2 separate regions of the Mus musculus genome follow, and region 2 is reported to be linked to region 1. The links are microRNA targets in miRTarBase. Many come from high-throughput screens and were not tested one by one. Region 1 holds a microRNA gene; the other region holds the end of a gene's coding sequence.
The links. The annotated mature microRNA mmu-miR-202-5p reads UUCCUAUGCAUAUACUUCUUU and lies in region 1 at 3,278-3,298, shown strand. An mRNA with a match to its seed (bases 2 to 7 or 8) in the 3' UTR can be bound and repressed. Matches are read on the target gene's strand: a 7mer-m8 pairs with bases 2 to 8, a 7mer-A1 pairs with bases 2 to 7 and ends in A, and an 8mer does both.

Region 1 (5,073 bases):
TTATAGGTTTAGGGTTTACTCAAGGAACTGGGGTGCTATGGGAGAAACTTCGCATAGGGGTAACCATGGGTATTCCCATTGGATAGCCAGTTCTTGAAAGGGTCACAAGACCTTTTGTCAGTCATGGCCAGGAAGGCCAGGCTCAAACTAAAATCTTTTTCACTCTTAACCTCCTGGCTCTTCAGTGAGATCAGCCCAGCAGCCTGAGAGAGGCCTCTGAAACACAGGTCAGTTAGCCCCACAATAGTCATAACTCCTTATGGGCTGTGGGAAACATACTGGGTTAACTACCTAGCTAATCCCAGTCCTCCCCAGGTCCAGCTGAATGGCCAGGAAGAAGACAGTGCCTTACGCACCTTTAGAGGGACAGCTGTTCCCACACTGGGCTGTACTCCACCTCTCGTGGTGTGAAGCCCCCCTCTGGGCTTGTGCATCGCCTTACTATTACCAAGTGTTGGTTTTCTAATCTGGAGGAGGGGAGAAGGTATGGAAAGGCAAAGCACACAGTTCCCTGGCCCCTCTGTCTCTCATCCTCTCCTCAGTCTCTGTCACTCAGAGTCTCAGTCCCCCTGTGCTCTCACCCGCCTGTCTCTCCCTCTTCCTCTTTGTCTTATTTCTTCTATTCCTCTTGCAAATGTGAGGCCGAGGCCATAGCCCAAGGTTGGGGAGAGCACTGTAGCTGCAGCTGCAGATGGGAGGCAGCTTTCATGATGTGCCAGACGGAGGCAGAAGGGGATGGATGGGGCCTCTGTTGGGGCCCTTTGGGCGCAGGGCCAGAAGGCTAGTTCTGAGGGCTCTTTTTTAGACCCACAAAAATCTGAAAGTGGGGCTCTTACCAACTAGTATCCCTGAGAGAACACTTCCTCTAGCCCAGGGGACTCAGAAATGTGTCTGAGGATAGGCATGGTGGCATATGCTTTTAATCCCAGAGCTTGGGAGGCAGAAGCAGGTGGATCTCTGAGAGTTTGAGGCCAGCCTGGTCTACATAGTGAGGTCCAGGACAGCAAGGGCTACATAGAAGAAAAACAAAACAACCAAAAATACTCTCTCCATTCTCTCTCTCTCTCTCTCTCTCTCTCTCTCTCTCTCACTCTCTCTCTCTCTCTCTCTCTCTGTGTGTGTGTGTGAATGTCAGCATGTCTAAATTCTTGGGGCTACTATGCCTCTTTTTCTATGGAACAACTTTCCACCAGGACAGATTAGCCTAGGCCTCATTGGGTCCAGACCTTCAGCAGTCTGTCCCTCCCCTACTCTTCTAGCCACTCTTTTCTTTTTAGATAAATATTTACTTATTATTATAAATAATAATACACTGTATTATTATTACTTATTGTTATAATAAATAAGTACACTGTAGCTGTCTTCAGACACACCAGAAGAGGGCGTCAGATCTCATTACAGATGGTTGTGAGCCACCATGTGGTTGCTGGGATTTGAACTCAAGACCTTCGGAAGAGCAGTCAGTGCTCTTAACTGCTGAGCCATCTATCTCTCCGGCCCCTAGCCACTCTTTATAATGCCTATCAGCCACCACTGACCTTTCTCATGGCCAAAAAGCCCAGGTCTATGGGCATGAGGTAGGAGATGGCTCTCAGAGCGATATGGTTTTGGATCCTGTCACCCACAGAGTCCCCAGATTGCCTTAAACTCCAGCCCTTATGACAGTCCAGGTTCTGTAGTTCTCAAGTATTCATGCCCTGTGCTACCGTGCCATGGTCTGAGCTCCATCCCGGGCATTGTCAGGAAGGCTCTGAGCTATTGGCCTTCCCTGGATTTTCTTGTATGTGCCCATTTCCAGGGTTCTGTCCTTGTCCGCTGCTCTCAGAACCTGGGCCAGACTCTGCTTTTCCCCAGGAGAATGGGGGCTACCCAAGGGCTATGCTGAGGCTCACTGGACTCACGGTTACAGATGCAACCTTAGTCTTGCCTTAGTAAGGCAGTGTGACCTTCCTCCGAATACTATAGACGTTTGTCATGTGGGTTTGGCTATCTCCTAGCCATGGCTGGCACTGACCAGCTATCATTGACACACTGAAGAGCTGAGCTGCCCAGCCTGGGTAAGGAGCAGTGTATGTGTCTGGATGTCTGCTGTACTTGGGATCTGGGTCTGCAGAACAAAGAACCACACAGACGGGCCCAGGAATGGAAGCATGGAGCCCTCTACTCCCTAACAGCCTCTGACTACCCACATTCTGGAGAGATGGCTCAGCAGGGGTAGTCCATGAGACCCTAGGGCATGGCATTTTTGTGCAGTCTCTGTGTGGGTATCCTTGGGTCTTTGATGTCTCTAAGGAGCCCCCCCTCCCCTCTATGCTGGACATGGTTTCTTGCTCATGAAACCTTACAACCATGTCTTCTATGCCCCAATGGGAGTTCTGGTAAAGGGACAAGGCCTATGCCCCCTTTGTACCACAGAACACCCTCCATGGGTCTTGGGCTCCTGGTCAGCACCCATCTGGACCCTCTGTACAGAAGCCACCAGAGGTCTGTCCAGTTGGGGCTTCCTGGGAGCTTCCCAGGGGCAAGAGTCTGAGTCTCGGTTTTCAGCTAAATAGAGGACAGTTATGAGACACTGTCTTATAGGCCTCAAGCCTGGCCTCTAGCAAAGTCCAGCCTCGGGGCTGCAGAACCACCCAGAGACACAGCTATCACTGAGCTGAGCAGGTCCAGGAGGAGGAGTGCCCTTCTCCCCGGATGATCAGTGCTCCTCTGTATGCATTTCCCGGGCCCCTGACGCCAGCAAGAGATAAAAATGTTGAGAGGCAGCTGGCCAGGGCTGGCCCTATCCCAGTTCCTGGGCCAGCAGCCCCCTACCCTGGGGGCCCTATTTGCAAAGGACCTGTTTATTCACACCAGGTCTTTGTGCCCCAGCCTCGCACGTGCGGGGGGTGAGACGGGGTCCTTGGCACGGAGCAGCTCTCTGACCACATGGGACTGCGCTGGCCAAGGTCTCAGCCGTGTATAAAAGGGGTGCCTGGGTTGCAAGCAGCAGGACTTCACCGAGCAACAGCCAAGTCCTCTGACACTGCTTCCAAGCTCTGTCTCATTCTCAGGCCACTAGCAGTCTGGACCCAGGTAAGGCTGGTTTGCCTCCGGGGACACGGCCCAAGCTTAGTGGGGCTCTTTTATCACTTCACAGAATGGCAATGCCTGCTGTCCCTGGCCTTAGCTCTAAGCTTTTTCTGGTTGTCTTTTGCAGGGGATCAATCCTTCTGGTGACTGCTGCTGCTTGCAAGTATCAAATGATGGCCCGCACATTCTCGCTGGCTGTTCCTTTTTCCTATGCATATACTTCTTTGTGGATCTGGTCTAAAGAGGTATAGCGCATGGGAAGATGGAGCAGTGAGATCTTCCCCACCCAAACAAAGTCATTAGCATCTGCTTCCTGACCAGGCGACTTCTGCTTCCCTTCCACTGGACCTGGGGCTGGGCGCTTTCCTGTCTGCTCGGGGCACTGTAAGAGAAGAAGAGCCGCACTGCCTTTCCCGAGTCTTCCAGGGAACAGTGATTCCTACGCAAGCGGATCTTGGGATCCGGTTGTTCAGGTGTTAAAATGGAGGGCTTGGGATAGAATGGAGGGGCACATCTGACCTATCCGAGGTTTTACAGAGGGTGTTGGGACAGGAACTGAAGCAGATCTGAGTTCGTGCTTAAGCAATCCTGAGTTCTAGGGACCTTAGAAGAGGCGCATAGGCTCAGGACTTGATCTTTGAAATTTTCCTTATGAAATTTTCTTTAGTGTGAAATCAGTGTGACCACATTTTCACACTAGTGGATGACGTCGGGTCTGATGTTGGAGGAGGTATAAGGACCAGCTGAGGGGTCAGTGGGCTCCAGGATTCAGTTTGTGTAATTGCTTCGCACCATGATTACATTTTTATCATGATGGGTGTGGTTGATTTTTTTTTAACACTCAGTGGCAGAATGCTTGCCACTCACGAGGGAGGAGGTCTTTGGGTTCAGTTTCCAGAACTGAAAAAAAGATGAAAATCAGGAAAAGCTGATGAAAATAAAATGTTTGGACCAAGCTGCTCTGCTACACTGCATTTCCCCATCCCCCATGATTGTGGTCTGATATGTGTGTGTTGGGGGGGGCATGCATCATGCTGTGGGGAGCGACATCACCTGGGCCACACTGAAAGTGTCACATTGAGATATCAGAGTTAGTACATGTGGGTATTACAAGGGAAGGTTTCACATCAAGGGAAGGATGCACACTGGGGTTTGTCACATGGAGTGTCATATGAGGGGAGGGGGTGAGGGATGTCACACTGGGTGGATGGACATTGGTAGCATCACATTGAGGGAGTTACGCTGGATGACATCACGTTGGTGTGAAGGACAATGGGAGTGCCACATCAAGGGATGAGGCATCAAGGGAACAGACTGGAAGCTGTGATCTAAGTGTATAAACGTGAGGATTCCCAGGATCCTTGGTAGGACCTTCCCTGGGGATGGCCTAAGCTGGCTCACTATTTAGAGGGTCAGACTCTTAGGAACTTGGGAGACTTGTGTGTGTAGTCTTTATGGATGAGGAAAATAAGCCTTTGTGAGCTGAGCTGCCAAGTTGAGCCACTGGTCTTGGAGGGTGTGGGACCTTCATCCTGTCAGCCTTAGCAAGCAGCTCCTAGTTCTGTCTACTAGCAACGCCCCACACACATCTACCCCAGGCTGTGCCTCACTTGTTCCTTAACCTCCTGAATTATCACCAGTGGGCACCCATCATGGCCACTGCCAGAATATGGGGCCGGGGGGGGGGGGGGCAGAAAGAGGAGAGAACACATTGAGAAGGTTCCCAGCAGGAGGGAACGCACCTGGCTTCTTTCCCCAGGTTCTGGCTAGCACAGTAGGAGGGAGAGATTTGGAGGGTGGGCCCCAGGGTCTAGGATAAGCCTTGAGCATAATGACTAAGGAATGGGGAGGGGCTGGATCCTCCTTGCCTATGGGAACACTGCAGATCTGGGGAGATTGGGGGCTCCAGGGAGCAAAGAGAGTGTGGGTCAAACCCTGGGCTACCAATGCCAAGCCATAAGCTAGAAGAACAGCAAGGGAAGAACACCGAGCCGTAGGAAT
Region 2 (5,073 bases), not on the chromosome of region 1:
TCAAATACCTTACTACTTATCAGAAGACTGATGAAAAGCTGTCTGCCTATGTTCTAAGGTTGGAGCCTTTATTGCAGAAACTGGTTCAGAAAGGAGCAATTGAGAAAGAAGTTGTGAATCAGGCCCGTCTAGACCAAGTCATTGCTGGGGCAGTCCACAAATCAGTTCGAAGAGAGCTTGGGCTGCCGGAGGGTAGCCCAGCCCCAGGCTTACTGCAGTTGCTGACACTGATAAAAGATAAGGAGGCCGAAGAAGAAGAGGTCCTCCTTCAGGCCGAATTAGAAGGCTATTGCACTTGACCCAAGACCCAAGGCTGTCATGAGCAGAACAAGATGGAAGAGCTCATTGCAGAGATCAGCCCATCCACTCTTTATGCTGCCAAAGTAACTCGCCCTTTGTCGTGTTGTTTACTGAATGTCTCCCCAATGTTTTACTGATAAAAATGATGTCATTCTACACTGATAATTATTTAAATCAAAAGACCATTCTGCTAGTACAGTGTCCCAGCAAGTCAAAAGTTTATATGCATGTTTAATAGTCATATGTGATGGTGCTATCAGTTATCAATAGTTTTCAGGTGTTGCCCACATTTATGCTGAAGACCCTGAGCCAAGGCTGGTTAAGATATTTAGTTTCTTTTATTAAAATCAGTTATCGATTCTGTGCAATCAAAAAGCACAACTGAATGCTGTGGTCAGTTCTACAACTAGTTTTAGGTTTGTGACTATCTGATATGTTGCCAAAACGTCTGCTTCTAAATATCATTTTCTTGGAGTAATAAAGAAATGATAATAAAATATTTGATCTTTGTATACATTGTAATACTACATTTGAAGGAAAATAATTTTTTGGCTTTGTTTTTAAGACAGTTTCTCTGTGCAGCTTTAGCTGTGCTGGAACCCACTCTATAGACCCAGGGTAGTCTCAAACTCAGAAATGTGCCTCCTGAGTGCTGGAATTAAAGGCCTGCACAACTACACTAGGCTGAACAAAAGTTTTTATAGTGTGAATCTGAAAGCCACTGAAATTACAGACTTAGTTCTTTGAACTCTTGGCACCTAGGGGATAGGAACTTGCTTGTTTGACAGGAACCAGACTATAAACAGATTGTGGCGAGTAGTAGGCCCATCAATATTGAATTTTGAGGGAGAAAGGGAAGATGAAGGTTTGTGTTTTTCCAACCCTGGTGCTACACACCTATAACCCCAGTGCTTAACAAGTAAAGCCAAAGTCAGGAAGACTGGCCTCTCAAGGCCAGCCAGAACTACAGAGGGAGGCCCTACCTCCAAAGAGAAAACTACATACAGGGAAACTAAGATCACCTGGGAAATGGATGTATGCCCAAGACGAAGCAGGCAGTAATGAGAGCTGTTCTGGTTCTTGCAAAGCTGCTGTTCTCTCTACTAAGGGAGGGAACTACACAAAGAATCAAGGCCAGACTGTCACCGTGTGTACATGTAGTCTTGGGAGTGTGATAGATTACTCTGAGTTAGGAATACATGGAAAGTTTCCTTATGTTCTCCACTGCAGAATGGCATGTGGACTCTTGAGAGCTGTGATTCTGCTCATGTTTGTATAGTGGCTTAAGATACATTATGCACTGTCCTGCAGGTCACTCATTTGCTGCCTCGGTGAGAAACTTTACATTTTGTATAGACACACAAGCATTAATAAATGCCACGCCTCTTCTGTATGTGAGACCCTAAGCTGAGGGGGTAAACTCGACAGGATAATCCCTGCTTTGAAGGTTTATTCAGACTCAGTATTAATGGCTGACATTGGATGTATCCTTGGCCAGCGACTAAGTACTAGCTGAAGAAGAAGCTGTCTCTTCCCACCTCCCATTTTATGAATAAGATGAGGCACAGAAAAATAACTTGTCTGTGGTTTTACAGGTAGTAATGTGGCTAGCCCCTGGCTCCAGGTCTTTTTATTCTGGGTAGATCATAGGCTCAGAGATCTTTAGGTGCTGGTCTTTGACGCATATATATATATATATATCCCATAACATTTGGCAGTGGTGGCAACAGACAGGTGGAGAAGAGTGCCACCTAGTGTTATAGCTCTAGGGGCCTAGGATGCTAGACCCTTAATTAAGCATTATAGATCTTGTGGAAGCCTCTAGTAACCCCACCCTTTGCTCTAAAATACTAAGTTATTGGGTAGACCTCATTACAAGTATTATAGCTGTTGTATAGACTTGGGAAGTTATTATTCCTTCGCCTTGCCAGTGTTAAATCGTACAGGTCTCGGGGTGTCTGAGACTTGTAAAAATCACAGAAGCTCTCTGAAACCTCCAGTGACAAGGGCCTGCTGGTTTTCATTTCCAGCTCTTTACAGCCTTCTCTCCTTTATCTCTGCCTCTTCGGTTGTCACAACAGCCAGCCACACAGCCATTTTCCAGCTCTGCCTGCCACTCCACTGTCTGCTGTTGCTGCCACTCTCCTGGCTTTATATTGCCATCTTAGCCTCACAACTAAGAAGTAAGCTAGAAATAGGAAAGGAGGGCTGGAGAGGTGGCTCCTCGGGTAAGAGCACCGACTGCTCTTCCAGAGGTCCTGAGTTCAAATCCCAGCAACCACATGGTGGCTCACAACCATCTGTAATGGGATCTGATGCTGCCTTCTGGTGTGACTGAAAACAGTTACAGTGTACTCATAAATAAAATAAATCTTTTTAAAAAATGGCAAGGAAACACTACTGGAGAGAATCTTTTATTGGGGAGGCAGCACAAGAGGTTATCTCCTGGGGCTGGTGAGATGGCTCAGGGGTTAAGAGTGTGACTGCTCTTCCAAAGGTCCTGAGTTCAAATCCCAGCAACCATATGGTGGCTCACAACCATCCTTAACGAAATTGGATGCCTCTTCTGGAGTGTCTGAAGACAGCTACAGTGTACTTACATATAGTAAATACAATAAATAAATAAATTTAAAAAAAAAAAGAGGTTATCTCCTAGCTGACAAAGTGAGCTCAACAGCCTATGAAGGCTAAGGAAGGGTGTTTGTGCCACTTTGAGAAAAACTTATATGTAAATGAAGAATTGTGTTTGCACCAATCACAGCCTTGTCTGAACACTAGCATCGCAGTCACTGCTAAGCTATCAGACAAACTCTCCTTCCTTGAAAATGGTTGCAAGGTCATCTAGGATTCACTGACGTTGTGCTAGCAAACATCTAGTAGAAGCTGACTTAGGCCTGGCAGAGGCTGTGCCTTGGGGAGCTGCAGTTGTGTCGTTTCAAGGTGTTCACACAGTGTTCCAAACAGTGATGTCATACAGATAGCTGGCTGGCTTTTGACAGCCCGCTTGCTCAAAGCAGCCAACAGTGGGTAAGTCCAGCAGCTGGTGATTGAGAAGTCAAATTGCCCCGTCAGCAGGAGTGCTTACAGTTTTGAAAGAAGAACAACTTATTAGCAGTGATTTTAGCCAAGCTCTAATAATGTTTAATTCCTGATGAGTGTTCCCACGGTCTCCTTTATCAAAGTGACAGGCCAGGATTTACATCGAGCCTGTCCATTGCCAGTCCTTGATCGTCATAAAGATTGATTTGTTTTTAATATTAGGTGGGTATGTGTGCGCATCATATTCATGCAGTGCCTGTGGAAGCCAGAACAGAGAGTGGTGGATTCCCCTGAGGCAGGAGTCAGACCGGTGTGAGTCATCATATGAATGCTAGAAACCGAACCCAGAACCTGTGCAAGAACAGTAAATGCCCTTCACTGTTGAGCCATCATTTCCTTGGCCCCCAGAGTCCCTTGTTCTTAAGCTGTTCTAGGTTAGCTTGTTAACTTCTCACAGGAGCCTGTCAAAAAAAATACAAAAACAAAAAAACAGTGTCCATTCTACAGACAGGAAGCTTAAGGTTCAAGAAGATTCAGTGCCACCGGGCAGTGGTGGCGCATGCCTTTAATCCCAGCACTCGGGAGGCAGAGGCAGGCGGATTTCTGAGTTCGAGGCCAGCCTGGTCTACAGAGTGAGTTCCAAGACAGCCAGGGCTACACAGAGAAACCCTGTCTCAAAAAACCAAAAAATAAAAAAAAAATTAAAAATCAATTCTAGATAATATAAATGTTTGCTTCCATGCACAAAAGCCATAAGAAAATCATGTAACTCTGGAACTGGAGTTACACAAGATTATTTGCAGCCATGAACGTGCTCAGAAGGGTCCTCTACCTGCTGCAGCAAATCCTCTTACCTGCTGAGCCACCTCTCCAGCCCACAGTCAGCTTTTCTTATGGTCTTCTGCATGCATCTGGTGAATACTATGTAATTGAGGAAACTAAAAGGATTTTTTTATTGGTTTATAAATTGAAAATAATAAAAGCACATATGCGCCCTTTAAACAGCCATGTTGAAACAATGGCACTAAAATGTCACATTGACATACTAGGACTTGAAGGGGAATTTCTTTTTGTTTAAGAAAGAAACTCTCGGGGGCTGGTGAGATGGCTGCTCTTCCGAAGGTCCAGAGTTCAAATCCCAGCAACCACATGGTGGCTCACAACCATCTGTAACAAGATCTGACTCCCTCTTCTGGTGTGTCTGAAGACAGCTACAGTGTACTTACATATAATAATAAATAAATCTTTAAAAAAAAAAGAAAGAAAGAAACTCTCAAAGAAATGAAAAGAAGGTGGTATTTCCATAGCCAGGGGACTTCCGGGAAGAGCTTCCTCACAGCCACAGAGTAAGCACCATAGTGTTAGTTCTAACCCAAAGTAAATTCCTGGGAGTTGATGTCGATGTAAATAACGATTGAATAAATATGGGAGAAAAGATGAATCTTTACAGAAGAATGTCAGATAATTCATGTGGCTGCTTTACCCTCTAGGAACTGTGTAAGTTACTTTCTGCTCCTGTGTTGAAAGAAAGAGGGCTTTTTTGTTTGTTTGTTTTTTGTTTAGGGCTCTGTTTTCTTGTTTGTTTTGTTTTGTTTTGTTTTGAAGACAGGGTTTCTCTGAGTAGCCCTGGCTGTCCTGGAACTTGCTCTTTCTGTACACCAGGCTAGCCTCGAATTTACAGAGATTTGCCTGCCTCTACCTCTCAAGAGCTGGGATCAAAGATGTATACTACCA

Region 2: the mRNA of Moap1 is a reported target of mmu-miR-202-5p. Seed matches in the 3' UTR shown: 7mer-A1 at 1,066-1,072 and 7mer-A1 at 2,495-2,501.

What each region holds. Positions count from the first base shown.
Region 1 is chr7:139,955,957-139,961,029 of GRCm38, reverse strand. It overlaps Mir202 (microRNA 202), which reads left to right and starts at 3,270; the gene lies at 3,270-3,341. The region is part of intron 1 of Gm16201 (a long non-coding RNA gene); the gene reads right to left. Mir7686 (microRNA 7686) reads left to right here and starts at 3,408; the gene lies at 3,408-3,464.
Region 2 is chr12:102,737,456-102,742,528 of GRCm38, reverse strand. Moap1 (modulator of apoptosis 1) reads left to right here. Exons shown (of 2, transcript NM_001142937.2): 2 at 1-2,699. The coding sequence ends at 299. It overlaps Gm20604 (predicted gene 20604), which reads left to right. Exons shown (of 2, transcript NM_001142939.1): 2 at 1-2,699. Among named protein-coding and RNA genes, the nearest start is that of Moap1, 3.7 kb to the left of the region's middle.